2 linked regions of the Arabidopsis thaliana genome follow. The protein of the gene in region 1 purifies or fractionates together with the protein of each later gene. This does not show direct contact. Each region holds a gene or a part of one and is shown on either strand. Other genes may lie near its edges. The genes, in order: PIP and NUDT3.

Region 1 (5,074 bases):
ATTGCGACTATGACATTGACAATCTCACAGTCTTATATGGTAAGGAAGTCTCAGCTAAAGTAAAAATTTGGTTCTCCCTCCCCTCTGCAAATGATTGTATAACAGTTATTGTTGGTTGTCTGGTGCAGATAGCTCGGAATATTACAACCAACGAATTATGGAACGCGAAGAGATTCAGTTATTTGCGGGGACCTGACGGAAGATTCTACAACCCTTATAACCACGGCTTGCGAAGAAACTGCACCGATTTTTTGGTTCATGGCTACACCAGGGACGACGAGGTTGTCCCGTCTTCAATTCTCTGAATTTACATCTCCTCATCGCATTGTTACATGCATAAACCCTCTGATTTAGTATACTGTGTATATATATATCTCCTCTTCGATTCATATATTGCAAAGTAAGGTTCAAGTTTCTTCTCCTTTACTTGACACACCTCTTGCACTCTGTAAATCTTTTCCTTTATCACTTACCAGTTTCACCATTATGCTACTCAACACCCATAGTCTCCAATCCTCTTGATAAAAGGATTTTTATTTGACTCATATGTTTTTACCGCTGGTTTTTGTTGGGGATTTCTGCATTTAAACGGTTCAAAAAGGCCATGGTTCTAAGGTATTCGTTAGAGTCCCATTCATTGGTTACATTGGTGCTTATAGTCCGGGTTTCAAAACACTGCACCTATGTCATTGTCTTTTTCATTTGGGTATAAACGTCCATGGAAATAACATTCGGTTTCGCGTTAACAACTAACTCTGAATGTGATATTTACTTTGCAGCAACAAACTTGAAAATATGAACAAAGGTCCCAAAGAAATGAACAAAATGAGCAGCTTTCATTCCATCAAATACTTCATCCCATAAGTGCTTTCATCTTTTCATTGGCAACCACGAGTTCCGCTGATATTCCTGGCTCATTTGCCGAGTGCCCAGCATCATAAACAATCTGCAGACCGTTGGTCGCATTACGACAATAAGCAAAACTAAACTTAGGAAAGATCTTGAAGAAATCTTGGAAAAGATTTTAAACTTACCTTGAGTTCTGCCTCTGGCCATGCTTTGTGCAGATCCCAAGCAGACATCATAGGACAGCATACGTCATACCTTCCCTGTCCATTTTAATAATCCAGACCCAATCTCAATCCCATAATATATAAATGTAATGTATATAGCCAAATCAATGTTGTGTTTACAACGTGAGAAACCTAAGGCCGATGTTTTTTTCTTGTTGCATGTGTTTCCATTTCTATAACCTATCGTCTACACAACTCGGCCTCATTAGATCAATCAATTCACAATTCCAGTTCTTATATTAAGGATGTACCTGAACAATGGTGGTCTTGATATGTCGTATTTTATCAACATTGTCTAGCAAGTGTGAGTCCGACGGGAAGAAACCTTTGTTAACAAAGTAGTGATTTTCAATCCTTGCAAACGCCTGCAGCACAAAGCCAAATGGTCGTTAAGAAATCAGTATAAAGATAATGTATGAGCTTTATATAGTAACAGGTCAACGAATCCAGATAAAACTAACCAATGAAAATTTATCATCCTCTGCCTTTTGAACGTTTTCAAGATTTGGACGAAGATAAGCAGTCATCATTTCCCATTTAGTCCAAGCTCTTGCAGCTGCGTACTACAAGATCATAAGAATGCAATAATTACTACGGTAGACATTTATTAGTCCAAATTCTTTCGGCTATAAAAGCTAAAAGATGAGAGTTCAATTGCTGTAAATGCCGAAAAAGAACGATGGTCAATGCCTTTTCTCGTGTAATAGTGATTAGATCTCAACATACTTGAATTTCCAGATCATCAGAATTCAATCTTTTGTGATACGCGTCCACAAGGCTACTACCTCTCTCGTTTTCTGGAATAAGATCTCTGAACTCCTCCCAAGCTTTTAAACAAAGAAACAAACACTTAAGAAGAAGAGAATATGGAACCTACTGCACACAAAACTCCAACACAGGGATACAAGAAAGAGAATTACCATCAGGGTAAATAGCAGCAGCACCGCCCTCGTAAAACCAGTCAATCTCCTTTTTACGCAACAAAAAGATCCCTCTAAGGACCAAACCAGTAACCTTGCACCAAAAAAGTTAAAAGATGTGAAATTATAGGTAAGAAAACTACTTATTAGATCATATTCCATTCAATCAATCCCTAAACAACCATTATTATTCTCAGATGTAAGAATGTAAACATCAAGATTTGCACCTTGTCAGGGTGAGACTGACTGTATGCAAGAGCTAGAGTGCTTCCCCATGATCCTCCAAAAACCTGACAAAAACAGAGGTTCTGGCTCTTAAACCATCTCAACAACATCAAGAACCATATCTCTGGAAGAAAATCTCTCACCAGCCATTCAGGTATTTTCAAATGTTCTCTTAGTTTTTCAATATCATTCACAAGGTCCCATGTGGTGTTTTCCTCCAAACAAGCATGCGGTGTACTCTTCCCCGCACCTCTCTAGAAGAAAACAAGACAATAAAAACTTAAAGATGAATATACAAGCTGGATCAATGTATTCAAAGTGTCCACAAAATTCACAAACCGACCTGATCAAACAGAACAATCCGATAAAACTCCGGATCGAAGAATCTCCTATTACTAGGAGCCGTCCCTCCTCCCGGCCCGCCGTGAAGAAAAACAACCGGCTGCAATATGTTAATTCCCATCATACAATGGAAAAGTTAGAAACTTGAACACATGATGGTTGATTCAATAACAATGATGGTTTTACATACGTGTCCATCGGGTTTGCCTGATTGCTCCCAGTAGAGAGTGTGAACATCTGAAACCTTTAAATTTCCACTGCTATATGGCTCAATGGGAGCATAAAGGGTTCTCTTGTTCACAAACGTTTCTGCTTCATGAGGTTCCATTGTATCACTCTTCAACACCTCACTCTTACCACCGCAACTAACTTGAATCTTTCGTTGCCCTACTCAAATTCAAACAAAGCTCAATTCAGAATGATGATGATTACTAACTAACAAATGGTTTTTGAGTTACAAGTTTAAAACTTTCACATTAAGATATATCCTCAAAGGCATAAAATTGTAAAATTAGACTAATTCACAGAAACCCTAGGAGCTAAGATTAAGGATCATGAGAATGATTAGTGACATGTGACCACAAAATACTTATAAGCTTGTAGCAGAGAGAGAGAGATAGAGAGAGACCTGGGAATAAGAGATTGAGATTGTTATGGTTTGAAGGAAAGAATCGAACACAGAAGCAAGGGGCCAAAGAGAACGATGCAAGGATCAAGTTCATAGTATTTGACCCGTTTCAGCAATTTCTCAGTAATAAAAGAGACACGCGTCGGATCCTTAATTGATACCAATCGGGTCGAGATTTTTCCACCACTGTTTCAACGTATTTTCAAGATAATTTGACACGTTTAGGCATTTTTAGAAAATCTTATTTTTTTGGAAATGTTCTAATATTAGGCATTTTTAAAAAATATTTTTCGATTTAAGGCACTTTATAGGAAATAAACATTTTTTCTACTATTTTTTTTTTCTTAGATTTTTTTACTCTCAATTCAATATTTATGTTTTTAATTCTCAATTTCTCTTTCTTGTTATTCCTCTTCCACGATCCTTACCCAAAATAAATAAAATCTCTCTCTCTCTCCCTCTCTCTCTCTCTCTCTTCATGATTTGTAGCGCCTCTCTTTCTCCACGTCTCCATAACTTTTGAGAGAAGTTTCTTAAACAATTCGATCTCGATTATCTCAGGAATTTGGTAAAAGTTTTATGTCCATAAGGTCTTGGAGGTGGAGGTCTCTACAAACTGTAAGAAAAATCAACAAACAATTTTTTTGTGTCCATAATAACGAGTTCATTTAAATATATCCATTCAGAAAACTTTTACTAATTAATATTCATTCTATATACCAAGTCCATAATAACAGAAGATTCGATTAACCGTGCTTTTGTAAAGAAACCAAAGTTCCATGTCCATAAGATCTTGGAAGTGGAGGTCTCTTCAAACTGAAAGAAAAATCAACAAACAATTTTTTGGTGTCCATAATAACGAGTCCATTTAAATATATCCATTCAGAAACCTTTCTACTGATCTATATTCATTCTATATACCCTATCAATAATAACAGGAGATTTGATTAACCGTGTTTTGTAAAGAAACTAAAGTTCCATGTCCATAAGGTTTTGAAGGTAGAGGTCTCTACAAACCGAAAGAAAAATCAACAAACAATTTTTTGGTGTCCATAATAACGAGTCCATTTAAATATATCCATTCGGAAACCTTTTTACTGATCTATATCCATTATGTATACCATGTCCATAATAACAGGAAATTTGATTAACCGGAATCTCGATGCTACATAGGTGAAACGAGTTTGACACATGAGAGAGAGCAGAAATCAATTCAAGTCGCCATTGTTGAAGAAGAAGAAGTTTCTTAGATAACTAAATCTCAAATTTATGTCAAAACAAATATTTAAATTGCAAAATAAATCACAATCTTAAAGAAACCAAGACCTCGTATTCTCCAATTAGTCAAGAGAGAAGAGAAAGCCATCGCGTAGAGTGGATTTGGAGATTAATTGCAGATTTGGAATTGAAGATATTCTGGGAAAGGTTTTTTTCTTCGATAAAGTGAGAAAAAAAAAAAGAAAAAAAAAAGAAGAGATGGGAAAAGGAGAGAGAAGAGATAGCCGATTGAAAAAATGTAGTTAAAGAGTAAATAAATAAAATAATTTATTTAAAGTGCCTTCTCCATTTAAAGTGCTTTCTCTATTTAAAGTGCATAATTATGAACTAACTTTTAAAAAAGTGTCTAATCACGTAATATTCTCTTTTTTTTTTAGGCACTTTTCAGGGATGAGACATTTTCTCTTGTTTCTGGATGATAAAATGATAATTATATCCTTTTCAAACTAAACCATCAATTGCTTAACCGGTTAACATGGTTTTGTTTGAATTGATATCTAATAAAACGACAGTTGAGATTTGCAGATGAGAAAGAGTTACCTTCACAATTACAGGTCTTCCGATTATCTCACAATCTCGATGTTGATGGCTGATAATTCTTCCGGCCA
Region 2 (7,615 bases), on another chromosome or scaffold:
GAAATTTGTGAAATAGACACTTTTTTTACTTTTTTTGTGAAATAGAGGTTATGTGTAATAAGCTAAAAGACAAAAAATATGTCAAATACCATTTTACCTTTTACTTTATATGAAAAAATATGGGTCAAACTTTTTATATTATTTAACTATTTAGAACTATTTTTATTATATTATAGTTATTTTTTTTTTCATATTCATCTTTTTGAATTTTATAAAAATAAATTATTTTTAAAAAATAATTTCTTCTTCCAAAAACAAGATGATTTATATGTTTTTAATTATAATTCTCGTACACCAGCATTAAAACATAGTTTTGTACACTAACACTTATACACCAAATCATTTTATACATATCTTCTAAAATATTTCTATTTATCTCATATTTATAAAATAAAATAATAATTGTTCATAAATTAATAAAAATATAATGGTGTACACCATCATGTATACTATTAAATTAACCATAATGGTGTATACCATTAAATGAAAGTAATGATTATACATTTTTACTTATGTACACTAACATTTGTACACTTTTATGTACACTAATCTCATATTATTATTATTTAAACTTTGTTTTGTATATTATCACTTGACAAAAATGGTTTTATCTTTTGAATATGAGGTGTACACAATAGGTGAAGGTGTACGATATTATATACGGTGTACAAGGTGATTTATGGTTTGATTTATTATCTCATTATTGCATGTATACTATTAATATCATGTACACCATATTTTACATTTTCGTACACCATCTTATTATGTAGTTATACATCATTGTATATTATCGTTTGTACATCACTTTGTACACTGTCTATACCGTATACCACTTCTTAGATCATTAAGAAACAAAAGTTATTTTTGACTTTATTTGACTATATGACAAAACAACAGAAGGCTATAAAGGTCATTCACTAAAATCTCTATTAGATAGAAAATTGTATTAGAAAGGAAAGAGAAAAGTGTCTATTCTCCCTATTTCTAAAAAAACTACTTACTTTGCAAATTATTTGTGAAAAAAGTGTCTAGTTTCCAACTTATCTCTATTGTTTTCTGCTACAATATTTAATAAATCGTACTTTCTCCTATACCTAAATCAACACGGCCTTTATTTGTTAGAGTATCTCCATGGGATAGATACCCTTGCTAGTTTCTCAACAAAAGAAAAAATTATTATTTTAATTATATAATATATTTTGTTTCAATTATAATACTTAAACTAATATTTGATTGACATGCCGCGATTTAGGCTGAGAATCGTTTCTCCTTGATTCTCAAGTGAGAAACTCTTCTTCCACTCTCTCTTACTTTTTTACTTTTGGGTTATTATTTTATTATTAAGTTTCTCATTCAGAAATGATGAAGATGGCCTTACGTTTACATTTTAAAACAAAGAAGCATGTAGTACTTTTGAATATTGTTTCTCACCATTATTGTACTTGTGGAAAACACAAAAGTAGTTGTTGTTACTTTCATCACTCTATGAGCAATAAAAATGCAGTCCTCGATGAAAATGTGGCTAAGAAATGTTAGGGAAATGATCCAAAAACCTTTTTGACTAACTCGTTTTGACCTGTCATTACTATTATTACATAGTTATCTCATTTTTGGTCTCTATTGCAAGAATCATGAAATCTTCTTATAAGAGACTTTGGTATTACCCACAAAACAACTTAATAATTTTACCTTTTGATATTATATAATCCACACAACTAACATGAACTAACTGCTGACATAATCGTCTTAACATTAAAAAAAAATGAAATGAATGCATGCATTGCATATAAATGTACAAATGTTGGCTTGATCTCTTGACCCCTACCTAAGACGTAAGAAGGTATTTTAGAGCTGTGAAATGTGTCAAGCTGAGTCTCGGAGTGAAAAGGGTCCGGTTTAGTGAAGCCAAGTAAGCAAAGCCCCTTGTTTTTGACGGACATTATATCTCCTCCTCTTCTCTTCTATAAATTGGGCACCTTTTTCCAATTTTACGCACAGTCACGGAGATAGATAGTAAGAGAGAGCTATGGCGGAGGAGCACTTCGACGTTCTGACTAAATCCGGTGAGAAGACCGGTGTGTCCAAACCCAGGCATGTTTATTGTTCATGTGTTTTCCCTTTTCTTGTTTGATGAAAAGTACTCGGAAATCGAATTCGTACGCTGAGATGTTTGCACATTGAAATTTTACGTCTTTGTTGGAAAAAGTCATCCTTTTCTTAGGTTTGGGGTTTGATTTGATGCTTCGTTGACCCTATCAACTACACAACAAACTCGACCAAAGAGTTTTAGGTCAATCGGAGAAATTTCAATTCGATTTTGGTTTTAAAAAAAGTTTAAGCTGAAAAATTTGGGATTTTTTTCTTCATGATCAGCTCTTCTTTGGAGTTGTTTTTCCAGTGAATTAACCTCAATTCGTCTCTGTTTGGAACCATGTCATTGTAGGGGAGAGGTTCACAGAGATGGAGATTACCATCGTGCTGTTCATGTCTGGATTTTTGTGGAGACTACTCAACAGCTACTTCTCCAACTTCGATCTGATGATAAAGATTCTTGGCCTGGTCAATGGGACATCTCTAGTGCTGGCCATATATCAGCTGGTGATACATCGCTTCTATCTGCACAGTAAGTCAATCCCATTCTGCTTTCGTTACTTCTTCTTTCCGTTTACTAAAGATTTCAGGATACTTTCTGTAGGCGGGAGCTTGAGGAAGAGCTTGGCGTAAAACTCCCAAAGGATGCATTTGAAAAGATCTTCGTTTTTCTGCAGGAATGGTTTGTCTCTTGGCCTATATGATACATGTTCTCTGATTCTTTCAAGAGACATTATTTGTAGCTTAGTTTGATTGGTATATCTTGAAGCTAACTTGCTTTCGCTTATTTAAATAAGCATTGTAATTTATTACTCTCAACTTGAGAGGTATTCTTAAAGACAGTGTGCTGCTTTTCTTTTGTGTACTTTGACAGTGTCACAAACGATGGCAAATTCATAAATAATGAGTTCAATGATGTGTATCTTGTTACTATTCTGCATCCAATCCCATTAGAAGCCTTTACTCTTCAAGTGAGTTTTTTTCCTTCACGAAGCTGTAAGTTTAAGTAGTATAAATCACTTGGATTCTTAAGTAACATTTTTTTATGTATGTATTAGAAAGAGGAAGTCTCTGCTGTAAAGTACGTACCTTACGAAGAATACAGAAACTTTCTGTCTAAGGAAGATCCTGCTTATGTGCCATATGATGTTAATGGAGAGTATGGAAAACTATTTGACATAATCAGACAGAGGTACAGTATCTCTATTTCGGTTTTTCTCCTAGCTATTCCTTTTTTTTTCTTGTTCATATCTAATATCTTCCATGGTACCAAATGAAAACTTTTATGAGTCAACTATTGCTGAGGTACATATTTTATATAGATATGTTTTCTTACATAGAGTGTTTCTTCTGAATTTGTTGAAGGTGCCAAGTGAACACTGAGGCCCGTAGTTTATCTCTGCAGAAGCAACTCCAGAGATATTCTCCAGTCACCCTCGAAGCCAAGGTATTAATTTGTTACATCTTTTCTTGTGATTTCTTTGTTTCATATGCACCAAATAAATCTTATTTTGCACCGTTCCATAAAAGACATTTTGAGACACCTTTCATTTATATGCAGTTGACAGAACTTTCTGAAGCAGATCAGAAAGCGTTGGGTCTAATTGTGAAGGCTGCAAAAATTATGGACGATATATTCTATGAGCAGGTTCTGTGGAGTCCGAAATTTCTTCTTTTTTTGACCGTGAACATGAAATCTCAGATCTTAAACTAAATTAGAAAGTTATCCTTTATCAGGTTTGGAACAGCAATCCAGCCCTAAGAGATTGGCTGAAGGATCATGCCAATGCATCAAAACTGGACAAACTAAAATGGGATTACTTCACGATCAACAAAAGTCCATGGTGATTATCATCAAAGTTACTTTGTTCTAACATTTATGTTCTACGGAAAGGGTTAGGATTCATCAACGGAGCTGTTGCAGAATTTAATTAAAGTTGCAAAAGATTTTTGTCTTGAATATAATTCGTTAACATATTGGTGTGTCAATCTCATGACGATTAGGAGAGATGATCCAAGAGATTGACGTTCGTATTTTATTTGCAGGTCGTCTCTTGATGAAAATGAAGCATTCTTGAGTACTGCGGATTCAGCTGTAAAGTTGCTTCCTGGAGCAACAAAAGCCATAGCTGGCTGGAAGGGTCTTGAATATAGAGCAGCCTTTCCAGTGACTAAACCACCTGGTGCCAATTTCTATCCTCCCGATATGGATAAAATGGTATTCACACATGTTTGATGTGTCTTTACCAATTCCTTTTCTGTTCCCATTACTCGTAGTAAGAAATGTGTATCTAAAATTATAGGAGTTCACCTTATGGCTCAATGGCCTTACGGAAGAGCAAAAGCATGCTGCAACAGGATTTTTCAGTGTTATAAAAAGGCGAAGTGAAGCTAATTTAGATGCTTCTGATCATCTTGCCAGCAGCACAAAGAAGTTACCAGACTCTAATTCCGATCTGTATAGTATTCCTTATTCAGAGATATATCGACCTTTCCTCAAGAAAGCTTCTGAATTCTTGCAGAAAGCTGGGGACTTGGTCAGTTCGCCAAGGTATATATTTCAAACAGTTTCTTACCCTTACCATATAAAATGTATTCACCCATTCGATTGGCTTAGTATATTGAAGTATTCACCCACAATGCTTTCTCATAGTTTGAAGAAGCTACTGCACAGCAAAGCTGAAGCCTTCCTTTCAAATGAGTATTATGAGTCAGACATCGCATGGATGGACTTGGTAACTCTTCTCTGTTCATACATGGTCTTCTAGTCTTCTGTAATTTTCCTTCCTTATAAAAGAGGATAGCTCTTGTAAGACGAGCTCTGGCTATTTTAATGGTCCGTAATTTTCTGTCACATATCAGTCATGCATTATAGTTTTGAGTAACTTTTGCTTTGTCTTATCATCTTTTGTAGGATTCAAAGTTAGATATTACCATTGGTCCATATGAGACGTACGAGGATGAAATCTTTGGGTATAAGGTAAGACTTTACATAAGCATGTGCTTTCGCAATGATTTGCTTATGCTGATGCTCATCCTCGTCTTCACATAACCTTCATAAATTGCAACTCCCTTTAACCATTACTCTCTAATCTGTATTTGTTTTCCGTCTAAGGCTACATTTGAAACCTTCATCGGTATTCGAGATGATAAAGCCACAGCTGATCTGAAACTCTTTGGTGACAATCTAAAGGTACTGCTCTCTTCGTAGCTGCTGTCAATCAAAGTTGCATTTCTTTACGTTTTCAATTTTCTTTTCTCTAAGATCATTTTTCATTTTCTACTTTCCGGTAGCTATTGGAAGATAATCTCCCGCTTGAGAGTGTATACAAATCGACAGATGTATCTGCTGCTCCTATTCGGGTCATCCAGTTAATTTACAATTCCGGGGTAAGTTCCCCTCGGCATCCATCTGAGATAGGAAAAGGAAGAAAATGTATTGCCGTTATTCATGGTTCACTTGTTTCTTGATTGTGACAGGATGTGAAGGGTCCTCAGACTGTTGCTTACAATTTGCCAAACGATGAAAAAATCGTGAAGGATAGAGGAACATCAATGGTTATGCTCAAGAACGTCCAAGAGGCAAAGTAATGTCCCTTCTTCCTCCATATTTCATCAATAAACGGTGTCATAATTACATCTAACTAATGCTTTTTTCTTTTCTAGGTTTGAACATATTTTAAAGCCTATAGCTGAAATCACCATCAGCAAGGAACAGAGAGGATTAGTTGATTTTGATTCTTTCTTCACTCACACCATTTGCCATGAATGTTGCCATGGCATTGGTCCCCATACCATAACCCTTCCTGGTGGTCAAACCTCAACAGTGAGAAAGGTTATACTGCTTATTGGAAGAATGCAGACATCTAATTAAGGATTGTTTGCGCTGTGACTAGTAATTTACCTTTGTTTTCTCGGTATTTCCTTTGATCTAGGAACTACAAGAAGTCCATTCTGCAATGGAAGAAGCAAAGGCAGATATAGTTGGTCTTTGGGCACTGAAGTTTCTCATCACTAAGGTTAATGATCATATTTGCTAGTTATTGAAACTTTGTTCATATAAGTCTAATTTTCAGACAATGTAAATCAACAGGGGTTGCTTTCAAAGAGTATGGTGGAGAGTATGTATGTTTCGTTCCTAGCTGGTTGCTTTAGATCGATCCGGTTTGGTCTCACAGAAGCTCATGGGTAATGAATGATCTAGAGAATTATATAATCCGCACTCCTATATGTATAGTTCCTGACATTATTGTCTATTTTGGCCTCAGGAAAGGGCAAGCCTTGCAATTCAACTATTTATATGAAAAAGGAGCCTTCGTGTTCCACGAGGACTCTACATTCTCGGTTGATTTCGCTAAGGTATCAGTCCAAGTTTACATGAAAAACTTTCTGATTAGTCATATATCGAAACACCTCCTGAATCTTGTTATTCCGGCATGTAAAGATCGAAGGTGCAGTTGAGAGCCTGAGCCATGAGATACTAACTATTCAAGGAAAAGGTGACAAAAACGCAGCAACATTGCTTCTAAATAAGTACTGCACTATCACCGGACCATTGAAAACCGCTCTGGAGAATCTCGAACGCGTTAAGGTACAGTTTCTTTACAGGATAACAAGACCTAAATTGAGTTGAGAATTGAGATATCCATGCAGATAGAATGATCTGCGTTCATGGTTTTGTTTGTGTGTTTAGGTACCGGTGGATATATCTCCGACATTTCCATTAGCAGAAGCATTGATGAACTGAGGAAAGTTTCAGTTTCAGCAAGACTCTGGTTTTAACTTTTAATAAATAAATAAAACTCAGATGATCCATCATCATAAACCAAATTTGGGATTTAAAAGAGTTATCTGAATGGTGTTGTGTTCTTATCATAATAAAGTTGCTACCTTTACATCTTTATTCCATAGAAGAAATTTTTGAGAGCTTTAAGATAGAATGTTATCATCATCACTAAGAAATAATATTTGATGTATTGTGTAGATAATCAAAACAAAACTTGTAGAAAATACGATTAAGGTCCATAATCAAACTCGTTATAGAAGCCAGGATTTATATAAGAATTGAAACAATCGAATATTACGTCTTCCTCAGTCGCTAACTTGCCGGAATCTTGACACCCAAAATACGTCTGGATATCGTCGGGGAAGCTCCGGCGAGTTGGAATCACTTCCGGCGATGTAGATGGTTCGATTACTTCCTCTGATTTCGGAGATTTGTTATCATCCGACGATTCGGGCTCGCGACTAGGGCTTCGAATGGGCTTAGAATCGGAATCGGCTTTATCCGCGGCGGCGTTAGGGTTTAGATAACGGCTGACGTCGAAATTGGTAACGGCGTTAAGTCCACGGTACTCTATTGCCGCGATGTCGTAGGCGATTGCTGCTTCTTCTTGCGTGGCTGCACGTGCACAGGGTTTAAAATGTTACAAACAAAAAAACTTTGGTACTATACCATATTTTCATAGAACTTTCATCCCATTTGTATAAATATGGATTTTTCTTTTTTTCCTTTTTCTTAGAA

Evidence for each region.
Region 2: the proteins of PIP (region 1) and NUDT3 fractionate together in Arabidopsis thaliana (co-fractionation; one large-scale study listed by BioGRID). This does not show direct contact.

Annotation. Positions count from the first base shown.
Region 1 is NC_003071.7:6,040,588-6,045,661, forward strand, and holds PIP (proline iminopeptidase), read right to left. Parts: upstream 3,388-5,074; 5' UTR 3,283-3,387; coding exon 3,189-3,282; exon of another isoform or gene 2,948-3,188; coding exon 2,751-2,947; intron 2,661-2,750; coding exon 2,562-2,660; intron 2,473-2,561; coding exon 2,362-2,472; intron 2,284-2,361; coding exon 2,221-2,283; intron 2,088-2,220; coding exon 1,994-2,087; intron 1,901-1,993; coding exon 1,800-1,900; intron 1,637-1,799; coding exon 1,535-1,636; intron 1,439-1,534; coding exon 1,325-1,438; intron 1,261-1,324; coding exon of another isoform or gene 1,110-1,260; coding exon 1,035-1,109; intron 947-1,034; coding exon 854-946; 3' UTR 559-853; downstream 1-558. Other genes in the region: AT2G14255 (Ankyrin repeat family protein with DHHC zinc finger domain-containing protein), read left to right, coding at 1-39, 129-305; AT2G14265 (uncharacterized protein), read right to left, coding at 3,746-3,804, 3,940-3,997, 4,141-4,197, 4,341-4,442, 4,495-4,554; AT2G14270 (Cytochrome C oxidase polypeptide VIB family protein), read left to right, coding at 4,992-5,074. UniProt on the Arabidopsis thaliana protein: Specifically catalyzes the removal of N-terminal proline residues from peptides.
Region 2 is NC_003070.9:29,983,334-29,990,948, forward strand, and holds NUDT3 (nudix hydrolase homolog 3), read left to right. Parts: upstream 1-1,712; 5' UTR 1,713-2,026; coding exon 2,027-2,091; intron 2,092-2,443; coding exon 2,444-2,623; intron 2,624-2,695; coding exon 2,696-2,773; intron 2,774-2,965; coding exon 2,966-3,062; intron 3,063-3,149; coding exon 3,150-3,283; intron 3,284-3,456; coding exon 3,457-3,538; intron 3,539-3,652; coding exon 3,653-3,739; intron 3,740-3,828; coding exon 3,829-3,935; intron 3,936-4,137; coding exon 4,138-4,309; intron 4,310-4,394; coding exon 4,395-4,642; intron 4,643-4,744; coding exon 4,745-4,826; intron 4,827-5,005; coding exon 5,006-5,071; intron 5,072-5,206; coding exon 5,207-5,284; intron 5,285-5,385; coding exon 5,386-5,481; intron 5,482-5,571; coding exon 5,572-5,678; intron 5,679-5,757; coding exon 5,758-5,926; intron 5,927-6,026; coding exon 6,027-6,110; intron 6,111-6,184; coding exon 6,185-6,279; intron 6,280-6,359; coding exon 6,360-6,450; intron 6,451-6,535; and 5 more. Other genes in the region: WRI4 (Integrase-type DNA-binding superfamily protein), read right to left, coding at 7,107-7,492. UniProt on the Arabidopsis thaliana protein: Probably mediates the hydrolysis of some nucleoside diphosphate derivatives.